3 linked regions of the Schizosaccharomyces pombe genome follow. The gene in region 3 interacts genetically with the main gene of each other region. Each region holds a gene or a part of one and is shown on either strand. Other genes may lie near its edges.

Evidence for each region. A genetic interaction does not mean that the proteins touch.
Region 1: mutations in mde6 (region 3) and SPOM_SPAC17G6.03 together harm fitness more than expected from each alone (negative genetic interaction), as found in Schizosaccharomyces pombe (one large-scale study listed by BioGRID).
Region 2: mutations in mde6 (region 3) and toe4 together harm fitness more than expected from each alone (negative genetic interaction), as found in Schizosaccharomyces pombe (one large-scale study listed by BioGRID).

What each region holds. Positions count from the first base shown.
Region 1 is NC_003424.3:3,591,075-3,595,576, reverse strand, and holds SPOM_SPAC17G6.03 (phosphoprotein phosphatase), read right to left. Parts: upstream 2,540-4,502; 5' UTR 2,523-2,539; coding exon 615-2,522; 3' UTR 510-614; downstream 1-509. Other genes in the region: protein farnesyltransferase beta subunit Cpp1, read left to right, coding at 1-380.
Region 2 is NC_003424.3:115,545-122,271, forward strand, and holds toe4 (transcription factor), read right to left. Parts: upstream 4,690-6,727; 5' UTR 4,565-4,689; coding exon 2,651-4,564; 3' UTR 2,517-2,650; coding exon of another isoform or gene 1,149-2,516; 3' UTR 510-1,148; downstream 1-509. Other genes in the region: mfs2 (MFS family membrane transporter), read left to right, coding at 1-176; SPOM_SPAC11D3.06 (MatE family transporter), read left to right, coding at 1,149-2,516; SPOM_SPAC11D3.08C (amino-acid permease), read right to left, coding at 5,012-6,664.
Region 3 is NC_003424.3:3,694,619-3,700,574, forward strand, and holds mde6 (muskelin), read left to right. Parts: upstream 1-1,946; 5' UTR 1,947-2,889; coding exon 2,890-3,134; exon of another isoform or gene 3,135-3,176; coding exon 3,177-3,750; exon of another isoform or gene 3,751-3,802; coding exon 3,803-3,909; exon of another isoform or gene 3,910-3,951; coding exon 3,952-4,692; exon of another isoform or gene 4,693-4,740; coding exon 4,741-4,920; exon of another isoform or gene 4,921-4,963; coding exon 4,964-5,219; 3' UTR 5,220-5,409; downstream 5,410-5,956. Other genes in the region: ain1 (alpha-actinin), read left to right, coding at 1-273; pun1 (SUR7 family protein), read right to left, coding at 544-1,410.

The DNA.
Region 1 (4,502 bases), 100 kb from region 3:
GTTGGTGGGTCGGTGCTAGCCATGTGATTGTGGCTTCAGGCTATGGTTCGGCTTCTCATAAAAGCCTGCCTAACCTTTTTTATAATCCAGAAAAATTATTAGGATATATTCTTCAATGTTGCCAGAGTACAAGCGGCGGTTTACGTGACAAACCACCAAAACGGCCTGATCAATATCATACTTGTTATTGTCTATTAGGGTTATCATCAATTGCTTATGACTACAGATATCACACTTCTGATGGTTGGTCCTATAAACCTTCCATCTTACACTCCTCTTTAAGCTCTTTATTACCGGCTCATCCAATTTACTGTGTTCCTTTTGGTTTTGAAGAAAGAATTAAATCATATTTTCTGTCACAAGAATCATCAAAATTCTAATGGTTTATTTATGAGTTGTCTATGGACTTTAATTTTTCATGAGAGGATTTTTTTTATTATTTTAACGGTTTATGTCCCGAGTTTAATATCATGCCTATTTTACTTCTCTATCAGGTATTTACTTCGTCATTTTTACACATGTTGAATAAATAATAATTCTTGACTTATTTGTTATCTTTAAAATCATTAATGTCATTAGAATAATCCTTACTAAAGGAAATAAACCATAGCCTTTTACTTATATAGGCAATCGTGGTCCCAATAGAGATCTGCATATAATGGTAACAAATCAGTCATAGAATGCTTTCCGTCAGGTCTCGTAAAGTAAAGCTCCCAATCGTCAGGTGAATATAAAGGCTTATCTGCAATTTTATTTAAAATGTCGTCTAAGCGTGGAATAACAAATGATGGAGCAACAACGTCAACAACTTGCTTATCGTCTCCAGAAAAAGAATCATCAAATCCAACTTGCGAGCAAATAAACCGCAGCGGTTCATAATGAGGAGTTGTAAGATGAGCAGTGTCATCTCCGTCATCTCCTAAATCATCGTGTGTAGTGTATCCATATGTCTTGCGAATGGAGTGTTCATAAAAGTCCTCAAATTTTGCATCAGAAACTTGTGGAGTGTTAATTTGAAGAGTATCTTCAGCAATCAGATATCCACTGTGTTGTAGAGCTTGTGGCAGGTACTTAGTAATCGACCATGGGACATCTTTCAAAACATAGAATATATTACTTTTAAAAGGACAGACTTGAAAGACCTCGTCTAAGCCAAAGGCACCTGAATTTAGACCACCTCGAATGCCACCCGAATTTACAATAATATAGTGAGGAATGTGATGTCGAGACTCATTGACGACTATTTTTGGAAAAAGTTCGGATTGAAATAGATGATAAATTGAGTTTGAATCGTTAAATGGAACTTCTGAAAATGCAAACTTTTTTGGGGAACAACCTATAGGAGTAAGTAAGCCAAGTGCCTTCCGAGCTTCGTAAATGCCATTAGAAATAAATTCTCCAAGTGAGGTATTGAAAGAAGACTTTTTTGTTTTCGAATGAAACATAAAGCCCTCGGGATTCCAATCAATATAGGAACGAGAGAAGCTGACACTGGCAGATTTAGCACTTTGCAAAGAGGAAAATATCTGCTGAGATGACCGTCTAATACTTTCGCCTATAAATCTCAAGCGCTCAGCTAGATAAGATTCCACCCCCATTAAAGAAGAAATCCCAGATAACTTGACCAACGATTTGAAGGATGGAATGCCGTTAATTGAGACCCAACCAACTGTTTCGCAATATCTTCCTGACTCAATTCCCACTGCTTTTTCATCGTAAATGGCATAATCTCTAATATGGGAATGACCACCAAGTACTTGTATTGGAGTGGTAGGGAAGTGAATCCGAAGCTCTGAAAGAACGATATCAAGCTCTGAGGCATTGTGAACGGGTACATGAGCGGGAATCAGAATCAGATCGATGTCTTTATTTGATACCATATCGTTCCACCATGGCTGTAGCGAGAATTGCGAAACTGGGAGGACACGAACCGTATCAGTAGCACCAGAAAATGAGTTTACAAATCCAAACGCAAGGATTTTAACATTGTGGGGTGTAGAAAAGATGGCATATCGATCTCCAAAGGGTACAAAAGAAGAAACATGTTCATCATATATGTCAATGTTTGCAGCTAAATATCGGCCTTCCCACAGAGGAATGAAATTATGATAAGTATCATTTGCAACAGTTGAGAGATAAAGCTCATGATTTCCAGCAACAAGAATATCATAATCCATATTTGCAAGTAATGAATCTGTCCAACTACCAGGGGGATCTGTCAGATCTGACAGGCCCGTACCATCATGAAGATCGCCGGTATCTACTAGCAGTAAATCAACGTCTTTTTGTTTTGCCAAGTGCTTCATATGTTGAACAAAAGAAGCGAAATCTCCTAAATCTCCTGAATAACGTTTATCTCGCGCATGTCCTGCTAACCAGCCATGGATGTCAGTAGTGTGTAAAATATTGACTTGACCCCATGTCAATTCCCGACGAATTGCCAAGGGCAAAGTTGCTGAATAGCAAGGATTGATAACAAATAAAAGAGAGAAAATTAATGAAAATGTATGGGCAGGTTTCATAATAAATATTGGTTCCCAGTATATAGGGTAAGTGCAGAATCGCCAAGATAAGAAGATCAAGTACCAAGTCACAAGCAGCAAATAGTAGCCAGCCAAACCTTCGTAATATGACAATCATTGCTTCCATCAAAAGTCATGGGAGTTTTAAAAAAGAATTCGTAGTCGCCTATTTTTTTTAATCAAAAATTTCTAAATGAAAATTGCGACGTCTGCAAAACGAGCACGCAAATGCAAGATTTTGAGATCGTCAAATGATTAAAAAGCTTTAGTGAAACACTACACTTATGTTATGCCTTTAACTTCCGGTTGGGCATAAGTATTTAGTAAAAGAAAAGAAGAATTGTAAATTGACAATGTGTGGGGAATTGGTTTGACGAACGATAATAGATAATATTATGCAATATTGTAAGTAATATTTATAACCTTATCACAGAGAAAAACGCTTTTAACCAGAAGTATTCCTTCCGAAAAACGTATATTGTCTTTATTCACCAGAGAAGAGTGCAAAAACAAAATATTGTCATTGTTGCTCAAGAAAATGATTAAGCAAGAAAAATTGGTTTTATAGTAATGCAAAAAAATTTGAAAAGGAAAAAATCATTTTTTCCATTCATGAAAATAAATAAAACCATTGAATCTGGCATTAGCATTGTCTCTTAAAAGAATTGGGATCCCGCAACGATGTATTCGTAATACCATAAATATGTATGAATTGCAATACGAGGAAAAGCCAGATTTTTTGTAGAATTTAAAACATAAAAAAAAGAGTAAAAACCAGGGTAAATATTGCAAAGGAGTATGTATCAATTTGCGTTTCCGTTAAAAGAAGGAGCATTCTATTTCTTTCATGAAGACTGCGTTTGCCAGTATCAATAACACTCTAAGCTTACTTTGTTTAAAGAACTTTTTAAAGATAAACAGCAGCCATTAACAGGGTTTTTTTTCCTCCATCAAGCTTGAAGAAATAAACTCATATACCGATTTAAAATAATAATATAAAAAATAAATATTGAATGGGACGGGACTCGAACCCGCGAGCTTTCGCACTGGCGTGCAATGCGTTGAACGCACCTAAAGCCAGCTCCATAACCACTCGGACACCCATCCTTTCTGTAACATACTAACGATTATGTACATAATATAGCAAGGATTAATAGAGCTCAAAATAAAAATAAAAGGTAATAAAAGAATGGATATGTTGTAATGATTAAATACAACTTCGGTTATTCTTTCATTCAGTATGGTTAACTGATTTAAAATGTCCAAACGATATGTTTCGTACAATACATGACGAAAATTTAAGAAGGAGAAGAAACTCATATTCCACTTCAAACGAAATATCAGGTCATTAATAAAGAGGGTTATACAAAAGAGGAAAATTTAATTTCACATTTTTTCTTTCTTCTATTTGAAACCTGCTTTTCCGCCAATTCATCTAGTCATGGTTTGTATCGGTCAACTTATAGTGACATTTGGTATGGAACAAATGAATGATTTGTGTAAATTTTATGGCGATTAAAGAAACTTCCGCTAAACATTCTATTTCCATTCATTCTACTTAATTAATTAATTTATCCCATCAAACGATATTTTGAAGCCACAAAACTAGGGGCATTCTTTATTGCACCACCTGTGCAAAAAGTCGTCTTATTCACTCATCATTCATATTAAAAGGAAAACGTTTCCTATCATTCCCCAAGTTAGAAAATTAGCATAGTTCATAGAAATGTAATCAAAAATTCAAAAAAAAGCCTTAATGCTGTGAGCCTTCTACGCATTCATACTAGTGATGGAACAGTAACGTTTAGTTTCATGCTTTTTTCGTCGTCAACTTCATATCAGTGCTCAGGTCAACGCTAATAGTTCAATGCTTTAAGTCATGTCAATTTAAGAGGCTTTAAAAAAAAATATCAGAAATTTTTCTTCCACGGTGTCCGAAAAAATCTAAAGGAAAATTTTTATCGAGTAATATGAGAGTAA
Region 2 (6,727 bases), 3.6 Mb from region 3:
ATTCTGCCAGTGGAGGCATAAGTATGGTGGCCAGGCCTATGTACCTTAATTTAGGAGATCACTGGGCTACTAGTGTGCTTGGTTTTATTTCTGTAGCGATGGTTCCCATTCCTTTTATATTTTATCGTTTTGGCAAGAGCATTCGTGCGTGGAGCAAAAACGCTTACAAATTGTAAGAACAAGTGTGATTATTTGTTGTTGTTGTGTTTATTTAATGTTGATTATAATTGTCATATCATGCATATATCTATATAGTAAGAGAGTGATTGCAAGCAAAGATGAATTTTGGTGCTTATTCTATTTAAAGAACGAATGGATGTTTATAAACTAATTTAGAAAGTTTTAATAAAAACGTAAAGATTTAAAGTTATTTCGTGTTGCATTCTAAAAGTCACAGCAATCTAAATATAAACTTTTGAAAAGCAAAATTAACCGAGAATGATATATGCGTACGCCAAACAACTGGATTCATACTTATACACAGTTATTTGGGAAATTACAAATCGTTTTTTCTGTAATGTTTGTTCAAATCATTATTGACTAATAAATTCACCAAGCTATTTTCTGCTATATATTTTACCACCATCGGTAAGTGTTATAATTATTAACAGTCAATGAGTATGCAAGGTAAAATTACAAAATATTTTTTGTACTCTTTATTCGCTTTCATGCTCAAATTTTTGTACTAATTTCAACAAATTAAGAATAACGTGCGAGTCAATAGCTTCTTAGTCTGCAACCGATTTGTTACCTACTATTTTTAACCAGCGGAGTGAGACGGTAATAATATTTTCACCGGCAAAATATGCTAACTGCTATCATTTAAGTTAGCAAAAACTCGGCGAGAATTCCCAATGTCTGTTGGCTAAGCGAAAAATATTTTGCGTGGGTATTTCTAAATTTCCGTATCTCCACGGATATACTAATGTTTAGCCATGACATCTGAAGTTTTATGCCCTAAATGTGCGGCTTCTAAGCGTTCTCTGATATAAATTTATGGTTCCATCCGTTCAATCAATATGATAAAAGCTTAGTAAACTTTTATTAAAGGAAAATTTGAACCTTCGGTGAACAGACATTAAGAAGTACTCTTTATTTATATTAAAAAATACACCGTATATCCAAATTTTCTCTGAGAAAGCACTATTATGGGTAGACCACTTACAGAGGTGAAATACCTTTTGATAAATTCAGCTCCGGTAATCCTTGGATATGCCTTGCAAAACTCTTTGCAAACTAGTTCAGTTATTGTAACCGGGCGCCTTGGACCAAGCGAGCTTTCCGTAGCTGCTTTTGCGTACATGTTTGCGATGAGCACAGGCTGGCTGATTGCTCTAGGTGGAACTACTGCTTTTGACACACTTGGCTCCAACCTTTGGGGAGCCGGAAAAAAACAAGAATTGGGAATTCTATTGCAAACGGGTTTCATCGTGCTCAGTATTCTATATCTGCCAATATGTTTAGTTTGGTGGTATTCTAAACCCATCCTAATTTTCTTGCATCAAACACCTGAATTAGCTGAAGCTTCACAAAAGTTTTTACGATACCTTATCCCAGGCGGACTAGGTTATGTATGTTTTGAATTGCTAAAAAAGTTTTTGCAAACACAAGAAATCACTAGGGCTGGTTCTTATATTCTTCTAGTTACCTCTCCTCTTAATGTCGCCTTAAATTTTCTACTTGTCCATTATTATGGATTAGGTTTAAAAGGCGCTCCATTGGCAACTGGATTATCGTACTGGCTTTCATTCATTTTATTAACTCAATATGCGAAATACGTAAAAGGGGCAGAGGCGTGGAATGGTTGGAATAAACGATGCTTAGAGAACTTTGGACCTTTTGTAAAGTTATCACTATTGGGTATCGTTATGGTGGGAACAGAATGGTGGGCTTTTGAAATAGTAGCACTAGTTGCTGGTAAACTTGGTGCTGTACCACTTGCCGCTCAATCAGTAATTATGACCACAGATCAATTACTTAACACAATTCCTTTCGGTCTCGGAATAATTACTTCTAATCGAGTTGCCTACTATCTCGGAGCTGGGTTACCTGACAATGCTTCTCTAACTGCTAAGGTCGCAGCAATTGTAGGTGTTGCAGTAGGAAGCGTTATCATGATTACCATGATTGCCGTACGCAATATCTATGGACGGATTTTCACAAATGATCCAGATGTCATTCAGCTGGTTGCTCTTGTAATGCCCTTAGTAGCTGCTTTCCAAATATCAGATTCCTTGAATGGTACAATGGGAGGAGCTTTAAGAGGCACGGGAAGACAGAAGGTTGGCGCTATAGTTAACATTACTGCCTACTATTTGTTTGCTCTGCCTCTAGGAATTTATTTAGCCTTCCATGGCAAAGGTCTTGTCGGTCTTTGGATTGGACAGGTAATAGCGTTATCCATAGTCGGAATTTTAGAACTGAAAATTGTAATGGCAACTGACTGGATTTCCCAATCAAGAAAGGCAATCTCAAGATTTGGTGACTCCTCTGAATTGACTGCACTACTCAATTAGACATTTGGGTCGATGCATGTAGTTGATCAAGCAAAATAGTTTGATAATAGCTTCATTGTTAACCGGTAATGATGTTCACCATGTACATTAAAGCAAATAAATTATTAATAAAACAACGTTACTTTCATATTTTTTTAAAGATTCCTCATAACATTGGTTACTCTGTCAAAATCCCAACTGTTTAAGTCGTTAAGTTCAAAACCTTCAACGATATCTTTAAAAGTAGAATCCGTAACATCATTATTTTTGGCACTGCAAACTTCTTTAGCAACCCGCAAAAGTTTGTCTGCAATTTTGACAAGTTCCAAAGCCACGTCACTAACTGGCTCCATTTCCATAAAAAAATCGTAAATTACATGTAAAAGATCCAAATCGTTAAGTAATGTTTCTGAGTCCGTTTCCGTATCAGTTTCGTGAACAAGGTTATTAAATATTATTAAAAAAGGTGTAAAAGGACAGTATAGGAATATCCATAGCGGATCTGCTTTAACATTGACCCTGAGATCAATGTTGAGTCTATTTTTTAACAATTGAACTGCTTCACGGGCTGCATTAATACAAATCCTTCGATTCTCTGTCGACGAGCTAGGTCTGTGTAATATAATTAAAGTGTTTAAGTAAGAAAAGTAAACTTCCATACCTGCGAAAGTTAAAAATTCGAACCGATCGCTAAGCGATATAGTGGGAGAAAAAGTGTTGTTTAGCAACATTTCATGATACATTTTTATTTCAGAAGGAAGGTTTTCTTCCCACGCTTTCAATTTTTGATGTATTGGTATGATGATTTTTTCTCTCGCTGCCATTTGCGTAGGTGACTTCACGCTGTATAGTCGATTTCGTATTTCACTCTGAATTATTGTCAACGATACGGTAGGAACAAATATCAAATCACCACCAGATTGTACACCAAACAAAAGCTCATATTTGCTATCAGGCAAATTACAATCAATATCCTTGTCGTTAAAAACGGAAGGGGTTCCAAAAATCAAAGAAATATTTTTATCGAGAATATAACACATCCAAAATATCCTTTTCCACGATTCAGCCTTTTCAGGCTCCACATCAGTGGATTGCTTTCTATGTAAGTTTAATTGTTGGGCCATGAGGCAGGCTTGGCCGCACAAAGTCCGACATAAAGAAGAGCTAGACAGGTAAGCTGCGTACTGTGTCATGACAATTAAAGCCTGAACTTTGTCAATGCTCGGAGTAAGAAAAAAGTCGGACTTTTGAACAAAAACCCAAGCTGTTGAAAACAAAGACTCTGCAAGCGTCTTTGAGTTACCAAGTCTTTTCCTAATGCTGCTTAATGCTAAAATAGAATAAAAAGAAATTAGCCAAGCATTATTGCTATGGAACCCGAACGCATAAAGACGTTCGAACTCATACATAAAATCATTATATACGAAGGTAGGCCACCACCAATTTACATGCTGAAAGTAAGACGTGACTAACTCATGGGCTACTTCCTTCTTGGGAATGTCATGGAATGCCTTCTCCCAGTCCGGCAACTGTGGAGGGAACAAGCTTTCCACATTCAGTATCCGAGTAGGTGTATTGTCGACAGGGCTACCTTGTCTGTGTTTAATAACAATCGATTCTGCATCTTTAATTTGTGTAACCAAGGAAGGTAATTCAATAGCCTTATTTTCACGTTTAAATTCTGAAGTTTCAGTAGCTATATCTAACAACAAATCGATTTTTTCTTCAAGCAATTTAAGGCGTCTCTGAACGGATTCTTCACCATCCTCGGGTTTTTCAATGTTTTTACTAATAGTTCCATTAGTAGTTAATGCAAAATTTTCTTGATTTGGAATTGAGTGATCACTCGGTTCTGGCTCATTGCCGTTAATACCAGCGGCATAATCAAACACGGGTAACGTAATTCCCCCAAACGTCTCCTTGCTTCTTTGAACAAGTCTCTTACGGCGAGCACGATTAGAATAATGACAGTCCGCTTGAAAAAGAGTACAAGTCTGACATCTTGGTTGCCCTCGACTACATTTAATCTTCTTCAACCTGCAAAGATCACATGCTTTATTTTGAGACATCTTATGTTAAGAAAAGAGTAATTAAACAACTATCTTAAATTCTAGCTGAATGCGTATCAATTGTAAGCAAGCATTACCGCCTTTGGTGCAGTTTACTGTTAAAAAGCATATACATCTGCAGATTTATTTTAGCACTACTCAAGTCGTGCTTAAGTATAGGTTATAAGGGAAGTGATGATAAGAAAATCTGGACAAGACGATAAGTATACGTACTCGAAAGATAAAAAAAATTTTATATAATCTTATATTACTGATAATGATAACAGAGCCACTAATTCATTAAAAGACATTAAAACAATATTAAGCTATTTAACTAAGACTAGGAACAAAAGAATAAAAAAGAACTGTTAATAAACATACAATTATAAAAGCACAGTAAAAATACAATGAAACAGCGTAGCTGTTGCCAAAAAGAAGAGTTAAGAAAAGTATAACACTCAGGTTAAATTACTCTGTGATTTGCTTCTGGTCAAAATCTTTTGGCAAAGGTAAACTGCTTAAAGATAGTTCATTTAGTGGAACACCAGATATGTACTCGTTCTCCTGTTGAACAGTAGGTATTGGACCTGTAAAAAAAGTTTTACCACCAATCTTTGGCAAATAATAATACACCACGCAAAAGACCATTACAAATCCAAGGACCACTATAGCCCAATTCATCTCATCTTGGTTGGGCTTTTGATATTGAGGAAACAAAAGCATAAGAATCATAAACCACATCCAAACTAATGACCATAAGGCTGCTGGTTTGCTCCATTTTCCAACGTAGAAAACACCAGGTTGAAATTTATTGTACACAAATCGACACATAAGAGGGCCGGAATAAGCGATATAAAGAGCAATAATTGCTAAATTAAACACAGAAGAAATGGCAGTGACATTAACCAAAATTAGTAGACCGACTAAAAGGCTATAGAGTAGCACTAAAAGAATTGCATTTAAGGGAACTTTCTGTTTAGTCAAAAGACGTAAGTATCTACTTCCTGGAATCCCGCCGTCTCTGCAGAAAGCAAATACTTCTCTAGATGCAGCAATCAGTAACGAAATGCAGTTCAAACAAAGGGCAATGACCAGCAAAGAGAAAATTCCTAAAGCTCCCTTATTTCCAACATTGTTAACCAGTACTTGAGCTACAGGCTGGCCTAAAGAGGAACCTAGAATGGCATTAAAATCGTGACCCATAGTAGCTACAACGGTGATAACGATGCACCATCCAAGAATGGTAGCCACACCAAGACTGGAAATCATAGCAAAGGGAGCTGCTTTGGCAGCATTCGTTGATTCTTCAGCAACAGCGGCGCTAGATTCGAATCCGCTTACAACCCACACAGGAGTAGTGAATGAAAGTATAAATGCCCATCCCATGTTTGACCATCCAGAATAATTTGTAAAATCACCGAATATAAAACTTCCAGAATTTCTAGTAGTAGAGTCAGATCCTGCGGCAAGGGCAATAATAAGAATAATGGATACAAGGAATTGGAAGGTAATATTAATGATGTTCACCTTCGCGATAACACGAGAGGGAATTGCAGTCATGGCAGAAATCACGAAAAGCAACGCTGCGTAAATTCCGTACTGTTCATATTTTGTAGGTGAATAAGAAGGACTACCTATCACAGCTAGTGCCTGTACCATAGATGATGCAGAGTACACTGTTGAAGCATAAATCGTAGCGTAGCCAAGCACTGACACGTAACCACAAACCCAGCAGAGAAATGCTCTTGACGATGGTGATGCTAGGGTAAAAATCCAAAAATAAAGACCTCCAGAAGTAGGCATAGAAGACGCCAGTTCGCCCAATGATATACTTACTGGAATCAGACATATACATCCAATAATCCATGACCAAACCATGCCTCCTCCTCCACAGTTCATCGAGAAAATGAGTGAACCCGCCATAGCCGGACAAAGACCCATTGATCCAAACGATTGACCAAAAATGCTAACGTAAGAGAATTCTCTAGTGAATTCTGGTTTGTAACCAAGGCTCATCAGAAGCTCATCATCTTGATTAGCTTCTCTGCTTTCGCCCAACTCAACTTCATTTTCCCATTGCTTCTGATTTTGTTTTAAGCTTTCTTTGTCGATGTCACTCATTGTAAATGCTGAATGTGAGTCGTCCTTACAAGCAGAAAACTCTCAAAGCAAATTGGTCTTAGC
Region 3 (5,956 bases):
GCTGCTAACTCGGAAGAGGGTGTTACTTATGAGCGTTTTACAGAAATCGTGATGGAAGAATTAGAGGATCGTGATAGTGCTCGTCAAGTTTTATATGCGTTTTGTGATGTTGCAGACGGAAAATCTTATGTCACGTCCGATGATCTATTGAGGAGTCAGGTTCGTCCTAATATAGTAAAGTTTTTAGAATGCAACATGAACAAACATTCAGAAGGACTGGATTATCTTACATGGATTAAACAATTACTGGCCGAAGACAAAGAAATAGTTTAAAACGGAGCATTTTGAATCACTTGATAAACTTAATGAACATTATTTGGATGAAAATTTAGTATACTTGAATAACAATATATATACGTTACAAGGGTCAAAGAAAAGTATATTTTTAAATACAGTAACTATCTGAAGAAAAACAAATCTCAATGCTAACTAACATAAAAATGAAAGAAAAAGGAAACTTGACATCAATACAAAAAGAAGGGAAAATAAAACAACATGCTAATTTTTAACAAATAATGGGCAATAAATAACGGACGATACAACTTAAAGTGGACTGTATCCGGATGTAAGATTTCCAATAAAATATAGAATACAAGCAGCTAAGCCAGCAGCTGCTGAAAGGAATGAATAAGCATAAATTTTCTTTCCTAAAACGATTGGAATGTTAAGAATTTCGATATTTTTTTCCAATTCAGAAATTGCAATACGATAAGTTGCAACTGCGATAACTGCAGCGATAAAAGTAAAAATAGTTGCAAAGAATGAGAAGACGTTGAGAAAGAGGGGACCAAAAAATGGAAGGCAAGAAATAACGATTGAAACTATTGTCAGAGCAAAGAAAATAAATCCAAGAATATACATGGCTCGCATAGCATAACATGCCCCTTTAAGCACTTTTAATCCTAAATCCACCTCGGAAGGTAAAGTGATGTTAATTTGGCTACCAGTTGCATTATTAATACTGGTTTCCAGCATTGTAAGGGGGTTGAAGTAATAACTAGGAGAAGGAGTACTACAATAAGTAGGATTTGTATAATCAGACGAATTTCCCTGACAATAATTCCAAAGACCAATGGAGTACCAGTCCGGGAGTTCAGACACGTCCTTCATCTCCTGCTCAACTTGTTCGATTAAATCAGTAGCACCTTGATCAATATATGTTTCGAGCGTGTCTACCAGTGTTCCAGTAAGCTCGTTAAGTAGGTTGCTTGTATTATTGACAACAGCAGTTTGATTGGCGACAGAAAAGATAGATGTAGTATTCAGTTGAATAAAGTAAATATTTTGAAAAGCAATGTTATGCTGAGTTTGATTGATGATGCATAGAATTGACAAAAGCGCGCCAACTCCAACGCAAACGGTACCAATACCAGTGAACAAAGCTTTAATAGGATTGAACCCCATTCCCATTTTGACAAACAGTTATATCAAAAACCAATTTGCTTGGGATGACAAAAAGAAAGAATAATATATATGATTATATATAATAGATATCACGATTAATAAGGAAAACTGATATGTAGTCTCCAGAAATAAACAATTCTTCAAGAAGCTGGGAAGAAGAAGGACAAAAAATCGGCTGAAAAATAGAGGGAAACACTTCAAAAACGCTGTTGTAAAACGAATTTCTTTGAAATTAATACGATTTAACGCGAGGATATTGAGTAAACAAGATAGTATGGATAGTAAACAAAAGAGAGAGAACTGGTTTTTTTTTTCAATCGTAAAGGCAAGTAGCTGATTGTTTCTTAACCTTTTATACGCATCAGAGGCGCAATCTCTTAAAGTCTTAATCTTCTGTAAATTTGGAATGCCACAATTGACACGGAGGGCCCGCTACGAGTAAAATATGTTTTGAGAAAGCGAAGTTGTCATGACAACCAAGTGTAAACAGACGGGTCATATCAATGTAAATAAACCAAACGCGGGACGTTTTCGATGTTTGCAACAAGCTCGACTATTATACGTGTGAAAAGGATGCAGTGACAGCAATTTTACAGTTCTTTCGCAGCAAAAGAAACAGTTCTGATATACGAACTCAGCGGCGCATGCTGTGTCGTACATTACTGACATATAGGCGCAGCTTGAGTTTCAAGCCCCATTATATATGAAAAGAAAGCGTTCATTAGATAGCCAAGTAAAAAAATCAACATAAGCGCTTTGCTTTTCTTAGTATTCGTTCCATGATACCGAACACAATAATTTGGGCTTTATATAGTTTTTGTATAAAAAAGAAATCATATGATTATCATATTAACATTTAATCGTTTAATGACTCTCAAAGATCCGTGATTATATAATAGAGAAGAGGAATTTACGTCGTCAATGAATCAGATATAATATTTAAACTAACATCATATAGATTTCCCATATTATCTTCTACCATGCTTTCATGACGAGGATACTTAATTAACCAATAATTTATACTTAATATGGTTGTGTTGCTCTAGTTACAATTGAAATTTTGGAAAGTGGTTTGGTCCATCGCAAGATTGGGTAGTTTGTGAATTCATTTAATTTGCCAAATAAATGAGCGAAATTCTCAGATAATGACAAAATAGTTATTTTTTTTTCTGGAGAAATGCGAAAGAGCTGTTGGAGTTTCTTTTGTAATATCGAATGGCAGAACAGAACTACTTTCTTCATATTCGTCAATAAGTTAAGTTCAATACTGGATCCAATTTCAACTTTTACAAAATGAATTATAATTGTTTACTGAAATTTCCCTTTTAAGTTTAGACCCTTACCAAGACTGTAAAGCACCTTAAGGAAGCGATCATTACTGCCTCTTTTGTTTGTTTACATTAGGTGCTTTCCTGATTTCTCCAATACACATACATTGTTGCTAGACTCATAGCGGTCAGACGAAGATAATTATTGATTCTTTAAATGGAACGTAAAGAATTGTCTTATACCATTCAAAGCTGGTCCAGCTATTCTGGAGCATTTCATCCTATCAATATACTTATCGATAATCCACACCAGGCTAACAGCCGATGGAGCTGTAATACTTCAATATGTAAACCCAACAACTCTGAAGAACAGTATGTAATTCTGAAACTTGATAAACTTGCGTTGGTTACCGATATCACCTTTGGGAAATTCCACACTCCCCATCTTTGCAACCTTAAAGAGTAAGCGGTTTATTTTTTTTTTCTTCCTCTAACAGTTTTAAGTTTTATAGTATATGGGGGGCGTGAACAGCATTTGATGTTCCCTTTATTAAGAGCTGGATTGACAAATGATTCAAATCGAGAAACATTTCCATTGTGTATCAAGAAATATAACAAAATTGAGAATTCAATTGCTTGTAAGTATATCAAAATTGTTCCACTTCAAGCTCATGCTCATGAATTTAACATGAGTATATGGTATGTTGCTTTACACGGCATTGACTCAGCCAGCGCTTTATCATGCACAGAGAAGAACAGAGCTTTACATCTAGAAAAAAAGGCACTCAATTGCCTTCTCTCTTACTTTGCTTTTAAAGGGAAACTTGATATATGTTCTGTGATACTTCAAAGCTACCAGCTTTCCATACCACATTCACCCTTAATGAGAATGTATGATGCATTTTGCAGACTAGGAGACACTCAAAAAACCATTCTTCTGTTTCAACAAGAACTTCAAGCTGAAATTATTGAGAAATGGCCAAAGCATAAATTAACCAAATTACGGTCGCATAGAATAGCTACATTTTTGAAAGGAATAAGTAGAAGAAGCGGTCATCAAATGGTTTACAATCCAAAGGTACCTTAGATTTTTTCGATATTTTATTGTATTAACAGTTATCCTCATACAGGACAATTGTATTTATTTATACGGCGGCTGGGATGGTGTCAAAACATTTTCTGATTTTTGGATTTACAATGTTGATAAAGATTTATGGATTATGGAGAATGAATATGGGTATGTCATTTTTTAGAAAGAATCTATCCATTAACGTATTAGAATTCCTGGTGAGAGGGTTTGTCACAGAATGGTCATTGATACTAGCCAACAAAAGCTGTATCTACTTGGGAATTACTTTGGCTCATCTAGGGAAACCGAGGTGCCCCCAGATGCAAGGACAGATTTTTGGGAATTTGATATTAGCAAAAAAGTTTGGACATGTTTATCCTATGACACTTCAAAAGATGGTGGGCCTGCCGCTATTTTTGACCATGGAATGTCAGTAGACGAAAAGCGAGGTATTGTATATGTGAGTGGTGGATGTAAATGGGATCCAGATGAACTGGTATTCGAGGGACTTTATGCATATGATACGAAAAATCGAATTTGGGAACAGTTGGCTGTCAGGTATGAGGATCGTCAAAAACACTGTGAGTTTAAGATTGAAAGGATGGGTCATTGCATGGAATATTTTCCTGATGAGAACAAACTTTATATTTTCGGTGGTCAAAGCTATGATCAAGAATTCATCTTAGACATGTGTTATATTAAGTTAGAAACAAGAGAAGCTGTGCAGCATGTTAGGAAAAACGATACATCCCAAAGTCCAAGTCCTTCATTTTGTCAAAGGAGTATTATGGATTCGAAAAACCATCGCATTTTCACTATGTTTGGTTTTGAACAGCGAAACATTCACAAAGTCCTTCGACCAAGTTTATGGATATTTTACATAACGACAGAGGAATGGGTTAAAATAAGTGATATTAATGAAGAAGAAGGAAATGAACATCCTTGTTCCAGGTATGTCTTTGGGAAAAAGGTAAATCATCTGACGCTTAATTTTAAAAGGTTTGGACACGCAGTCGCGGCTGATTTGAATAGAAACATTATATATTTAATGGGTGGAAATGCAAGTACGCATCCTTTGAGACCAATGAAGCTTTCAGATTTCTGGAAACTAGATATTCTAGATCGTTGGGGGATAAAGCATTGTCTATCTAATGTGTCTCTCCAGTTACACTTGCATCGGTATGTACTAAGTATCGACATCAATCAACTAATCATAATTTAGCTTTCATGAACTAGTCTCTGAAAATCTTGCTAAGGCAGTTGAGTACCTTCAAAAATCTATGCAGCCGCAATTTGACAAAAGTCCTTTATTTTGGAATGCGCTGATTTTGGATGCTTTTAGTGGAACGCATAAAAACAAAGATATTGCACAAAGAAGATTTGAAACTTTTCAGACAATATATGATTTATTACCGGTTGATGAAAATACTGTTGCACCGAATGAATCCCTCTTAAATATGATTGAATTTTTCACTTGAACCGGATTGAAGGGAATAAATCTTCCAGTCAACCAATTTACTACGCTAAATGTTGGTTTACGAAAATATCAGGCTCTCTGTCATTACCTGTAATTAGGTTGTGTTTCTTGATAATCAAATGTTAGCTGAATTTCTAGGATAATAAACTCTCATATAAATTTAGATAAAATGAAAGAATATATACCATGTGAATAGTCAAAAGTATACGAGTAAATAGCAATACCAATTCTTCTATAGTAATAGTGTATTAGACGCCAATATTATTATGATTATAATGCGAATTTCGCCTTTCCCTGATGCTACACGATACTAAATATTCACAAGAACAATAAATAATTTATTCATCTTTAACCAATTTAATCGCAATTTATTTATGTTGCATACAAAGGAATGAATATTCATCATGTTTGTTAATACCACACTTTCTTTTCGATTTTACCTATACCAATACTAAAATAGGCACGCGAATTCGAAAAAAAAAATATTCAAACTAAGTTATTTTACGTAGTTTTATTTAAATAGAAGGTATATGCGTATTTTATTTTTTTAAAAAAAAAAAAAAAAAAAAAAAAAGTTTATAATAGTAAATTTTTTTTTATGACACGTGCGAATACGATCTCCATAATACACTGAATACTACAAAAAAAAAGAACAGCTTCTTATCATTAAACAAATATATATATACAACTGCAAGTTTAATTGCTAAAAACGATTCGTACTTCCAAAAATAAATATTC